Arabidopsis thaliana: one gene and its partner. The protein of the gene in region 1 interacts with the protein of each later gene in a biochemical or structural test. Each region holds a gene or a part of one and is shown on either strand. Other genes may lie near its edges.

Region 1 (6,217 bases):
ATAGAAGATTATATATACAAGTCATCAGAATGCAATGATACTTCTGTCTCATGTATATCATATTCAAATGAAACACTGAGAAAAGCTTACCCGTATTCATCAAAATATCCACCGCGACCTTCAGTTCCAAAATCTTCTCTGAAAACGATCTGCAAAAAGAAATTAGAGATTTATGTGGATGGATTCAACTCTATACAAAAGTTTAGAAATATTTGTGCTAAGCGATCAAACTCTCACCTGTACGTTTGCAATATTGTCGCGGTTCCATAGTGGCAAAAACAAGCGATTGGCAAACCGAAGAACCAACTGCACTAACGATGAATGCGTTAGATTATATCTTTATTTGTCTAAATTAATAAACTAATGACTAGAAGCAAATATGTGTTACCATGTTTTGAACTAACTCTTTTCCCAGATAGTGATCAATACGATAAATCTGTGGTTCTTCAAACAAGGCTCCAATCTGAGAACTCAGCTGCTCTGCAGATTCCAAATCCTTTCCAAATGGTTTCTCAACAACAATCCTAGTCCATCCACCAAGATCAGCTGGAAACAATATACATTTCCAATGAAGTTATTACCAAATATTCTCTATCTAATAATGTTAACAAAATCTAACAGTAAACTCACATTTGTTAGTGCACCATGCCTTGATCATCTTGCTTACAGGAGGGTATACAGACGGAGGAAGTGCAAGATAAAACAATCTCCTCGAAGATCCTTCAGCAGTCTTTTTAGATATCTCGTGCTCCAAAATCGCCTTGTCTAATCTCTTAAACCCTTCCTCAGAATCATAAGGTCCACTCACATACTTAATCTATACAAGAAAATTGTATTTTCAGTTACCAAAAACAAACGGGACTATAACTGTGTAAATGAAACAGACTAACCAGCTTTAGAAACTTGGACAAAGCTTCTGTTTTCTTAGATGCATTCTTCTCATCAACAAGATATCTACATAAAACATGATAATATAAGCTTTTCATTGTGTCAGATGCAACAAAAAGGCGGACCGGATCGGATCATCTAACCCGCGGATTTTATCTCTAAGCTCCTCATCAGTAATCTTACTCCTTGCATATCCAAATATATGAACTTCATCTGGATTAAGAAATCCCTGTGCTCATGTAAAACCAATAAACACATCAAATAAATAAAAACAAGTGACATTGAAAACAATAAAAGATAAAAAAGATTCTTGTTTGTTTAAAAAAACCTGATGAAATAGATTGAAAAGTGCAGGAAAAGTCTTCTTCTTAGCAAGATCACCAGAAGCACCAAGAACAATGATAGAGAGACTCCCAGTTTCCGTGACTGGATTGTATTCTTTTACAAACGAATCATTCTTTAAAGTAGACCTCTTCTCCATATGCCATTGACCAGAACCCATCTTCCAATAGTTTTTTAACACTCTAACCAAAATACAGAACAAACCTGTAAAATTGAAGTTTAGTGAAATTGGAATCATTGTGTTACGATTGATTGATTGGTTAATCATGAAATCAAAGATTACTTGTGAAATTATAACATTTTCCAACAATTCGAGTCTCATGAAGATGATAAAGATTCTTAACTTAGGCTATAACATAACTGCGAAAATAAAACACAGAATCAATACGAAAATTGAATGATAAGTAATTTGTATGGATCAGATTTCGTCGAGAAATCAAACGGATCAACAAAGATTACGAGAAGAGATCTCTCTACCTGCGACGGTGGCGACAAAATTTTCACTAGTTTGGAGAATTTTGTTATGGGGTGGAGTTTGATAGTTCGAATTTTTATATAGATAAATTAGAAAGCTGATGATTAAAAATAAAGGGACTGTTTGTAAATGGATAGTAGTGAAACTAATATTATAATTACGTGAAACCATTAAGGGAATTATTGTAAGGTTAGTTTAATGGAAAGTGGTAATGATCAGATATGCTGAGATATTTTTTGGAAACGAAAAAGTCAAAAAGAATAAATGCGACGTTGTTTTTTTTCCCAATAATTTACGAGTTTCATATTCATTTTTGACCGTTAGATTTCACCTGCCCAACAAGGCAACAACTACTATCATTTTTTTTTTATCAGCCACCACAAAATAGTGTTTTTTTTTTTTTTTGGTGAGTACCACAAAATAGTGTTAACACAAAATGTCTTTAACCCAATTGACATAATTAGTGTTATATACTAATTCATGCAATAAATCGTCATTGTTTGTTATAATACCAAATTCATTCATCTAATATAACGTAGCGCAATGCATTCATTTAGTTTCTTCTACTTTGGAACGAGACAGGTAAGAAAACGCTATAATGAAAGTAACTTTTAGGCCCAAGAAATCCAAATGAGCCAAGATATTAAAAGCCCATACCGACACAATAAGATTGCTACTGTGAAGTGATGCCGACACACTGGAACTGTCACTTTTCAAAGGTAACATGTTTCTTGTTATGTGAGAAACAAAGTGAAATCACATTTTAAACCACTTAGGCTTTGTGGTCTTCTTCTCTGTGGATTTACGCTCGTGTTCAACAGGTACAGCACTAGAGTCAACCGTGGCTGGCTCTGATGACGATTCAACCGGTTCCACGGCTTTGGTCATGGCCTCTAAATCTTTCAGTGACAAAATCTCTTCATTAAGATAAGGAGTTGAACTACCACCATCATCTGCAAAAAAACCATTGGGTTTTTTAAAGATAAGTTCAGAACACAGTCCTCTTCACAACAAATTCTTTAGTATGTAAGGGGAATCAATATTATACCTAATTTAACCAGCTTTCTAAGATTAGTATTCCCTATGTATTCACATGATCCTAAACTTCTTATCAAACTATTTCATTCCTAAGTTTGAAAGTTTCTGGACAATTCCTCGTGCAGTTTAGTTATCCATCCCTCAAAAAGATCTCACTTACTAAATCTATAATCCCGTACATATCGCAATGCAAAAAAGTTCCCCAGAGAAAGACTATGGTATTGGGTGAAGGTAATGACAGAAACTAACCTTTAGGTTGATCGTTTGAAAAGTAGACAATGGCTCCAGGAACAAACCCAGCTGAGTAGAAGTCTTGTGAGAAATCTTTTATCTGTTTCTTGGGAGGAGTTGTATCTGACAAAAAGATGGCACGTTATCAAGTTTTCTTCTCTTGACAAATGTAAAATCTGAAATCTGAGTGATGGAAACATACACAAGTAGAAAGGAACATCTGGGTGGGCAACTACTCTTTTGACAAGATCAATCAAGCCTTGGATCTTTTCTGATGGATGAAATGTTGCCTCCAATGTGTGATTATCAGGAAAACGAACCCGGATTACAGCCTAGACAGTATCAATCTATAGATAGTCAGTGGGATAAAACTAGTTCCCAAACATGAAACCAATAGTAAAAAGAACCTTAGTGAGCTTTGATCGACGAGCAGCTTCTTCTGCTTCCCGGATTTTTCTTGTCTTCAACGATTTATCTTTTGTATAAGTAATTTAACATTACATGTTAGAAGAATTAAACAACCAAGGTACTGATTTCTTTAGAGCAAGCAATACATTCCGATTATGACAAACACAGTTGGATTTGATCAAAGATTTGCAAAATTTTCATGGAAATGGCTGAAGAATGTAAACTAAACCATACAGATTCTTCAGAACATGTTACCTTCTTTCTTAGTAGCCAAAAGGCGGTAAAAATCTGCAGGTGTGAACTCGTAGAAATCATCAGATTCATCGTCTGTGGAATTTTCATAAACAATCAATCACAAGACTTGTTCAAATTCAGATCAAATGCAATATAAGAATCAGAGATCCAAAAAAGTTACCAGCACTAGAAACTTGACTTGGTCTCTGTGAGATACTCGAAGTCTCGAAAACACGAACCTCTCGCCCTAATTTCTCTCGCATATCAGCAATTTTAGCCTAATTTTACGAAAATCCATCAAATAAATATTGAATTCGACTCAAGAAATGGAAAAACCCTAGAAAACTTTGCGGGAACCCCCAAATATAGAAGAAGAAGAAACAGAAAAATTTCGGATCAAATGAAAATCGAAATGGAAGTAGGAATCAGATGATATAGATCAATGAGGGAGAAGAAGAAGAAGAATGAAGTTAGACCTGAGCTGAAGAAGAAGCTTCCATGGAATCGGTGATCTCGAGTCGTCTGCGTTTCAAGGTGTGTAGAGAAGGGTCATCAACAAACATCAGACCCGGTTCAAGTTATTCTTTACTTGCTCGCTGCAAATCCACCGTCTATATACCGGAGGCGCTTTTGTTTTAGGTGATTTTCAATTTAAGCACAGTATGTTTTGTTTTTTTTACAGATAAGCCCTCTTTCTTATTTTCATTTTTTTGACCCCTCTTTCTTCTATCTAATTTTTCCCCAAGTAAACCACAAGTCTTAAAGACTTAAACTATTAAACAAAATGAAATGTATGAAATAAACTATTTTTTTTTGTTGAAATGTCAAATTTATAAATCAACAAAATAATTTATATACAACTTAATCCATATAACAAAAAAATCAAAAAAAAAATTAAAATAAAAAACATTGGCATCTCTCATAATCTAAACCAATATTAAAAAATCTCAGAGATTTGGAGTCTCAAAAAAATATAGAGAAATTTTGTGTTCTTCATTTTGTAAGTGCAAGATGTAGTAGATAAATATCTGAAATGCCAAAATAATAAAAAGATAAGTGAGCAAGTTAAACAAGTGAAATGGTAAAATGATGAAGTTTGGTCGTCTAATCAACGATCAGGTGAATTTTCTAGCAAATCACCATTATTCATTCAAACCATATATGTAAGGTTTTAAGCATAAGCAACATAAACAGCTCAAGATTCAGTGCGATTGTTGAATTTTCGAACCTTATGTCTAGTTTTGTTATTTCGAAACTCATGATAGATTAATGAATTTTTGAGAAATATTTATTACAAAAGAGAAAAATATTTAGTTTTGTCTTATTCATTTGTAATATATAAACATTAAATTATTTTGAAAAATACAAAGAAATAAATGTAATCATTTTGTACATGGCATATCGACAAGAAATGTTATTACATAAATATGTGCCATCTAGGTTGTACAAAATAAAAGTATTTACCCACCTGAAATTAATAAAGTACCAACCATTAAAAGGAAAAAATAAAACCTTTAAAGAAAAGTATTGTGCTACGAAAATGAAAATTTATTAATCTGATAGCCTCTTCCCACCTAAGCTTCTTCTTTGCTTATTTTAATTTTATCTTTTTGTTGTATCCTTCTTGTCTCTATTAACGCTCATCTTTCACCTTCAAGCTCTAAATCGAAGCAATCTTCACACTCCACAAACCCTAATTTCAATGCAATCGCAATTCACCATCTCAATCTCTCTTCATCTTCCTCTATCCATGGATCCATAAATCTCTGTAACCTCACAAAAGGTGTTTCCAATGCCAAGCGTTGGTGTGAAGCTCTACAGTGTCTTCTTCAAGTTCCTTTTGAAACACCGTTTACAAAACCGGATTCAATCTTCCGGTGATGAATCTTCCTCGGATCCATTTGGTGTCACGACCCGACCCGAAGAATCCGTCGCTGCTCCGAATCCGTTATTCACCGACGGTGTTGCAACCAAAGATATTCATATCGATCCGTTAACTTCTTTATCTGTACGAATTTTTCTTCCGGAATCTGCTCTTACGCCGCTTGAACCGAGTACCTCCGCCTGTGTTTATTCCGGTAAGGCTCGAACTCTCAACAACATCGCCGGATCGGATCTTCTTAGTAGGAGAAATAGCTTAGGTTCGTCTAATTCGTTGTTGTCTCATAAGGTAGAATCTAGAAGGAACAGTTACGGTTACACCACTGGTTCGTCCTCCCCTGAGGCAGGATCCTCCGACGTGTATAGAGGATACGCACCGTCGTCGTCGGGTGGAAACTCTAGAAAACTTCCTGTGATGTTGCAGTTCCATGGTGGTGGATGGGTAAGTGGAAGTAATGACTCAGTGGCTAATGATTTCTTTTGTAGAAGGATGGCGAAGCACTGTGACATCATTGTTTTGGCAGTCGGGTACAGGCTTGCGCCTGAGAATCGGTATCCTGCTGCGTGTGAGGATGGGTTCAAGGTGTTGAAATGGCTGGGGAAGCAGGCGAATTTGGCTGAATGTAATAAGTCGATGGGAAATTCTCGACGACCTGGAGGTGAGGTGAAGAAATCAGAAGTTAATAAGCATATAGTTGATGCTTTTGGTGCTTCCTTGGT
Region 2 (7,582 bases), 7.1 Mb from region 1:
AGACTCAGCTAAAAAGCGACCTACTAGAGAGGAACGGGAGAGAAACAAAAGCAATGGGAAGAAGAGTTCTTATGCTGATCAACCTGTATCATTTGTGTCAAGTGGCATAATCGATTCTGAGATAGCTGTTGCAAAAACCTCAGTTGAAAAAGTTGCAAAAGAGGTAGCTGAAACTACTCCGGGAACCTCTAATGGAGCAGACATTGGAGCATTTGAGGTACATACCAGAGGTTTTGGATCCAAAATGATGGCTAAAATGGGATTCATAGATGGAGGTGGTCTAGGAAAGGATGGTAAGGGGATAGCACAGCCAATAGAAGCTGTTCAGCGTCCGAAATCACTTGGGTTAGGTCTGGATTTCTCCATTGACACTGAAGACCCGAGTCCGTCAAGTAATAACAATAACAACGCTAAACGGAACAGATCTTCGTCCTCCGGGAAACATGGGAAACGCATCACCCATGACAATGGTGCCTCTGGTTCAGGAAGAATCAGGGACAAAAGATTGGGAGCCTTTGAGCAGCACACAACAGGCTTTGGGTCGAGGATGATGGCGAGAATGGGTTTCGTCGAAGGCTCGGGTCTGGGTAGAGAGTCACAAGGCATAGTCAATCCGCTGGTCGCTGTCAGACGTCCTAGAGCACGTGGAATAGGTGCTGAAGGCTAAACATTGAAGTATTTAACGGTCAATGTTTGAACAAGAACAGTAAGATATCGTTTTTAAGTATGTTCATCTTCAATCTTCAACATGTGGCCTTTGTTCAATTTATGTTTAAGACTTGGGAGCAGCTTTGTTGTTATCTTGACATCAATGTTGTTGACATAATAAAGCATCCTTTCTTTTGGCTTCTTTAACCACCATTGATGCAAAAAAAAATACATCCTCGGCTCCAAGATTCTATAAAAGAAAGTACCGATCTTAGAGCATTAACATTGATATGCGGAAATTGCTGATAAGTGGGAACATTTGTGATACTTACCACTTATAAAGCAATTACTTATCACTTGCAATCTTTTTAACTTACTTTATAATCCTTTATTTTTTCCATTTGTAATGAACGACCAAACAAGTATTGAAACGAAAATTAAGAACATTGATTAAAACCCAAACACAAGAGATTCGGATAACTTAAAAACACGAGGAAAGAATCAGTATCACTTTCCCCAGTAATCCAAAAGTAGAGAATTCGAGTTTTAAAACTTAAAAAAAAAAAGGATAAAGAAGTTATCACTAATTGTAGAGATCATCATCGTCCCCAGCAGCGGCTGCAGACGTGGCAAACGGATCTGCGACTCCAGTGGTGGCACCTGAACCAGCAGAATTCTCGAACCTGAACTCAGAACCGAACCCTCTAGACTGCTGCAACGTCTGAGCAAAGGCTTGGTACTTCCTGATGTCTGCATCACTCACACTCCTACGCGCATACTTCATCGACTCCTCAAAGTGTGCAGCTTTGATCTCTGATACTTCATCCACTCCATCTTCCTCCATTGCCTCTGGGTTCTCGCTCCTCCTCTTCTCCTTTTCAATGTCCTGAAACAAAAAAAAAACATGAGCTTCAGTTCAACGATTGGAGAGTATAACAATCTTTGGATAAAGAGCTTGGCGATGGGATCTCTAACCTTCTCAATGTTTTCTCTGATGGCGTACTTGCAAGCTCTCTGGCAAATCTCAGTGATATCAGCACCACTGAAACCCTGAGTGTATTTAGCAAGTGCACCGATGTCTACATCTTTAGCAATAGGAGATTTCCTCAAGGCGGCCTTGAAGATATTGAGACGGGAATCCTCATCTGGTAGTGGAATGTAAATGAGCTGGTCAAGCCTTCCAGGACGGAGAAGAGCTGAATCGATAATGTCAGGTCTGTTGGTAGCTCCGATGATGAAGACGGTTTTCTTGGCATTCATTCCGTCCATCTCAGTCAAAAGCTGGTTCAAGACTCTGTCCGCAGCACCACCTCCATCGCCACCACTTCCACCTCCTCTCTGAGTTGCAATGGAGTCGAGCTCATCAAAGAAAAGAACACATGGAGCGGATTGACGGGCCTTGTCGAAGATTTCACGAACATTTGCTTCACTCTCTCCAAACCACATTGTCAGAAGCTCGGGACCCTTGACACTGATGAAATTAGCTTGGCACTCGTTGGCAATAGCTTTGGCCAAAAGGGTTTTCCCACATCCAGGAGGACCGTAGAAAAGGACTCCCTTTGATGGAGACATCCCGAATTTCTCAAACTTCTCTGGGTGCTCGACTGGGTATTGAACAGTCTGCATTTGAACAATCACACGGCTCAGGTTACAAATTACAATTAATAGACAGACCCAAGCAAAAGTAAATATTAGCAATTTACCTCCTGGAGCTCTCTCTTGACATTCTCAAGACCTCCAATATCATTCCAAGAGACGTTGGGAACCTCCACAACCTGCAAAGCAAAGAAGAAAATTTGGAATGAGATTTACGCAAAGATACAATCTTTGATCTCGTTCTAAGCAGAGTACTGTCAATACTCACAGTTTCACGAAGTGCAGATGGGTTGCTGTTCCCGAGAGCAGTGTGGAAATGTTCATTAGTGACTGCCATGGAATTGAGGATTTCAGCGTCTATGGAGTCATCTTCCAGATCAATCACATCCATCTTCTCCCTGATGCATTGCAGGGCGGCCTCTGTGCACAAAGCTGCAAGATCAGCACCGACGTAACCGTGTGTGTCCTTTGAGATCCTTTCGAGATCCACCTGGAAAACAACCACAAGAAGAATTTAGCATTCAATAAACATTACACTCAACAAACACAGAAAAAGCTATGACTAGAAAATTACATCTTCAGCCAGCTTCATGTTCTTTGTATGGATCCTCAGAACTTCAAGACGTCCAATTTCGTCAGGAACTCCAATATCGATCTCCCTGTCAAATCTTCCAAACCTTCTCAAAGCTGGGTCGATACTGTTGGGGCGATTGGTTGCTCCCATGACGATAACATGAGCACGAGATTTCAGTCCATCCATTAGCGTAAGGAGCTGAGAGACAATCCTCCTCTCAACCTCTCCATTAGTCTTCTCTCTTTTCGGTGCAATAGAGTCGATCTCATCAATGAATATGATTGAAGGCGCATTTTTCTCAGCCTCCTCGAATGCTTTCCTGAGGTTGCTCTCACTCTCACCAGCCAATTTGGACATGATCTCAGGTCCGTTGATACAGAAGAAAAAGGCACCCGTTTCATTAGCCACAGCACGAGCGATCAAAGTCTTTCCAGACCCAGGTGGTCCATAAAGAAGAATTCCCTTCGGTGGCTTAACACCAATCGACTTGAATAGCTGTGGATGCCTCAAGGGAAGTTCAACAAGTTCCCTAATCTGAGCCATCTGTTTCCTGACACCACCAACATCATCATAACCTACATCATCTAGCCTTTCTTCATCCTCTCTCTTCACAGGCTCACCCTCACAGAAAATCTCTGTGTCTGGAGCAACCACGCAGTACTCAGCAGGATCTGTCTCTATAACTTTGAACTCCACACTCCTCATTCCTCCTCTGACTAGGAAGAGATCACCCTTCCTCACTGGACGGTATGCCTCAAGGAAATAAGCTGTTGAAAAGAATTCAATCTTTGTTAAGAAATCACTCTAATAATATCTCAAACCAAACAAGAACATCCAAAGAAAAATCAAAATTGCATAACTGGATAAGGATCTAAAACAAAAAGGCAACTTACGTTTCAGGTAAGCATCAAATAGGTTTCCAGTCACTCCTTCAACAGTATCATCAACAGGCAGGATGTGAACACGCTTTCCGTACTTGACGTCTGGGCATTGGTGAACAGATATAACATCTCCCAGTCTAACCCTCAAGTTAGATCTGACTACTTTATTCATTCTGATCTTTGGCTCCTCACATGTCTCATCAGCAAGAGCAATGCAGACAGTGTCCTTCCTCTTCTTACCCTGAAAGCCAAAATCCAAACCAAATAAGAACTCATAAAGACTACTAATACGAATCATTCACCAAGACAGGATCAGTACAAAAGCAAGTCTTTTTATTTTGTATAATACCTAAGATCATAAATCACTTGTTTCAAAAGACCACAAACCCTAGTTTATGTAGAACCACATAAGAATCCATTAATCAAGCAAGGAGAAAAAACCCTAAATTATGTCTCTTCATAGAGACAGAAACCAACCATTCAATATCTCAATCAAAAGAGAATCCAAACAAACAAAAGCAAACCCAAACCTTGATGAGAATGGTATCACCACGGAAGAGCTGAAGCTTCTCCATGGTTGCAGGGTGAAGAGAGACGACGGAGTTATCATCGTTGATAGCCTCATCGACGACGAGACGGTTCGGAGACTTCTTCCTCTCGAGAATAGCAGTACTGAAATCTTTCTTCGATTTCCTGTAACAACAACAAAGAAGATTAAGATTCAACTATAGAAACACAAGATCAACCAAAACCCTAATCCCCAAAATCGAAAAACCCAGACTTTAAGAAGATCCGAAAAAAATCCCGATCGGAAAACCAAAATCAGAGATCTGGGTACTTACGAGTCTGAAGATTCAGCTGGGGTAGACATGATTGAGTTTGAGATTAACGAAAGAGTTCCCTGAGAAATCGAAGAAAGTTGAGAGCTTTTTCTTCTTCTTTGGTTTCTTCTCTGAGAGAGAGAGAGAGATGGATTTGTGATAATGGGATCTGAAAGAGCACAGATTTTCTCTAATTATATCTCTCTACGTTTCTTGTTGGAAAAGAGAGCTCTTTTTTTTTCCTTTATTCTTATTTTCCTTTTTGTTTCTTATCTTCTAGTAATATCAAACCGACCCCTATTGTTTTACTTTTCCCAAATATTCACCCTATTTATGTTATGTGATTAGAATTCTAGAAACTTCTTTTTCGTTCAATTTTTTCCTCCATTCCACAAGCAATATCAATTTCCTACCTATCGACTAATATTCTTTTTCCAACTACTTCTCCCAAATTTCAGTAGTCCTCCAGACCTTAAAGCCCATAATTATTTTCATTTTATTTATGTTTGTGATTTACTTATGGTAATTAATAGGAACTCTTAACACATTACCACAAATATACACTTAAGCACGAGTAGATTGATCAGCTTTGGAACAAAACTCTGATAAGCCGTTCTTGCTTAATATACATATCTTACTAATTTAGCTGTGGTTACTATTCATAAGTTCATACAAAAATCATATTTCATCATTTTAGAATCTTTCACAAATCTTCATATATAATTATCTTTATGTATGTATATGAGCTTCATCTTGATCTCGCTAGAATCTTCAACCTTCGGAATCTCCATGAAACCTTTCTTGACTCTTTTTTTTGCTGTAAGAAGAGGTTGAATTCTATAAGCAGTCAACAAGCTCTTATTGTCTTTGGATTCCATAACTTGCCAAACCAACCTCCTTCACCGCCACCACCATTGTTCTTTCCTCTCGCGTCTCTCGAAGCTTTTACACTGTTCAGCGGAACTAGCTGTGGGCTGCCATTTCCTGAAGAAGCTTCCACAATTTTGTTCACCATCTCTAAAACCTCACTCATCTTGGGACGTGCCTTTGAGTTCCTAACCAAACATCTGTTGGCCACAACTGCTAGCTTTTGAACCGATTTGATCGGGTACTTCCCTTCCAGCCTTGGATCTAATATGAGCTTGAACTTCCTTGTGTCAGATAAATAAGGTCTCACCCATTCTAGAAGCTTCTGCTCTCCCTTGGGTCTGTTTCTGTCCACCGGTCGCCTCCCAGTGATAAGCTCATAGAGGAAGACTCCATAACCCCACACATCGCTTTTCGATGTGAGACGGCCGGTTTGAATGTATTCAGGTGCTGCATAACCCATTGTACCTACAACCTAATAAAGCCAAAGAAACCCGTTCAAAAACATACCTGTTTTTCAATCTTGCAACCAAAAGAAGTGAATGCAGAACTTACATCAGTAGAAACATGGGTTAATCCTTCAGATGGACCTAAACGAGCCAAACCGAAATCTGAGAGCTTTGCTTTCCAGTCCTCATCCAAAAGAATGTTCGAGGACTTGAAATCGCGGAATATTATCTGAAAAGCCAATAAATAAAAGTTAGTCAAGAGAGTGAAATGAGATCAGTAACGTAGCAGAGTCATCATATTACCTGAAACTCCATTTCTTCATGCAGGTATGTTAATCCGCGAGCTGCATCTTGGGCGATTCTCAGTCTGAGGTCCCAAGTAAGAACTGTGAGTGACCGAGGGGATAAGTGGAATTCAACACTTCGGTTAGGCATGTATTCATAAACCAAAAGCCGTTGGATTCCACGTTCATCATCTTCTGCACAATAGCCAAGCAATTTCACCAAGTTTGTATGCTCAACTATTCCGAGGAAGTTCACTTCCGTAACCCATTCCTTATGCCCCTGCAACATCCAAGAAATGAGATAATAGTGTTAAACCAGTGGATGAGTAACAGATCTTGAGAACAAGATTGGAAAAAACAGACATACCTGCAACCCTCTTTTACCGAGCTGCTTCACTGCGACTTCGATTTTAACTGACGAGTCCTCTAAGTTCCTCACTGTGCCCCTGAAGACACAACCGAAACCGCCTTCTCCAATCATAACAGATCGGCTAAAGTTCTTTGTTGCAGACTTGAGATCAGTAATGCTGAACTCTCTGAGATTACTTGCTCTAGTAGACACCGGAGGGTACGAGTTCTTCCTCCCCATGGATGATTCTGTGCTCGTCCCAGAGACATCACGAGAGTTGAACTCTGACCCGCTTCGGTTTATTTCGCGGTCAGAGAAGATAGAGGTCAATGAAACCGAAATAGGGGTCTTCTGTTCCCCTCTCTTATCCCCACCAGAGAACAAGAAACACTTCATTATCGAGAGGAGATTAAAATACCGATGTTTGTCCACTGCAGGACACCAATAAAACACTGATAATGATCATATAACATATACCGAACCACAAAATCAAAACCATTGAAGCATATTATCGAACAACTAATCTGCAAAGTACAAGCATTTCCAAAGTTAAGGCTTCCCCCAAGTACAAAACCACTTAACAGAGAGGAAGGCCTTTAGACCCAACAGATCCAAATTCTTTTCCAAGTAACACAAACCCTAAGTTCCAGTGAGTAATAGAAGGGATCTCGAAGCTAAAAGTAATCAAATTTCGCAAGTTGATTCCAATAAACTAAAACCCAACAGCAACATAAAGAACTTTGACTTATTGAACAAGTATATAAAAAGCAAAAGATGACACAACTCTCACCTTTGAATTTACTTTGTATACAGAAAAAAATCAGAACAGCTATCAGAAGAAGATGTAATTCAATCGTCAGAAGAGAAGGAAGATTATAATTATCATGAAGTGGTTAATGAATCACGATACAAAAGAGATCGAGGATTTGAGAAGCTAAGCTTCCGAGAGAAATGGATTTTAAGAAGCTAAGCTTCCGAGAGAAAGAGGTCGAAGAAGAAGAGGAAGAAGAAGTCGTCACACGGCAACAAAAAAAAAACGAAGTCTTTACAGAGAGAGATAGCTAAAGTCAGCGAAAGAACGAAGAACTGAGAATTTAAATTGGACAAAACAAA

The links. The genes of interacting proteins can lie anywhere in the genome.
Region 2: the proteins of PUX1 (region 1) and CDC48 form a complex in vitro, tested with the Arabidopsis thaliana proteins (one study listed by BioGRID).

Annotation. Positions count from the first base shown.
Region 1 is NC_003074.8:10,084,899-10,091,115, forward strand, and holds PUX1 (plant UBX domain-containing protein 1), read right to left. Parts: upstream 4,363-6,217; 5' UTR 4,180-4,362; coding exon 4,093-4,179; intron 3,895-4,092; coding exon 3,798-3,894; intron 3,710-3,797; coding exon 3,638-3,709; intron 3,450-3,637; coding exon 3,382-3,449; intron 3,307-3,381; coding exon 3,177-3,306; intron 3,098-3,176; coding exon 2,993-3,097; intron 2,659-2,992; coding exon 2,462-2,658; 3' UTR 2,208-2,461; downstream 1-2,207. Other genes in the region: G6PD5 (glucose-6-phosphate dehydrogenase 5), read right to left, coding at 91-149, 238-306, 389-546, 631-817, 891-954, 1,032-1,117, 1,217-1,434, 1,708-1,876; AT3G27320 (alpha/beta-Hydrolases superfamily protein), read left to right, coding at 5,409-6,217. UniProt on the Arabidopsis thaliana protein: Regulates CDC48A by inhibiting its ATPase activity and by promoting the disassembly of the active hexamer.
Region 2 is NC_003074.8:3,016,482-3,024,063, reverse strand, and holds CDC48 (cell division cycle 48), read right to left. Parts: upstream 4,816-7,582; 5' UTR 4,571-4,815; coding exon 4,542-4,570; intron 4,393-4,541; coding exon 4,230-4,392; intron 3,941-4,229; coding exon 3,712-3,940; intron 3,586-3,711; coding exon 2,819-3,585; intron 2,735-2,818; coding exon 2,513-2,734; intron 2,424-2,512; coding exon 2,352-2,423; intron 2,269-2,351; coding exon 1,624-2,268; intron 1,535-1,623; coding exon 1,232-1,534; 3' UTR 1,012-1,231; downstream 1-1,011. Other genes in the region: AT3G09850 (D111/G-patch domain-containing protein), read left to right, coding at 1-667; AT3G09830 (Protein kinase superfamily protein), read right to left, coding at 5,368-5,862, 5,943-6,065, 6,140-6,400, 6,488-6,865. UniProt on the Arabidopsis thaliana protein: Probably functions in cell division and growth processes. Interacts with certain SNAREs as part of specialized membrane fusion events where vesicles from the same organelle fuse (homotypic fusion).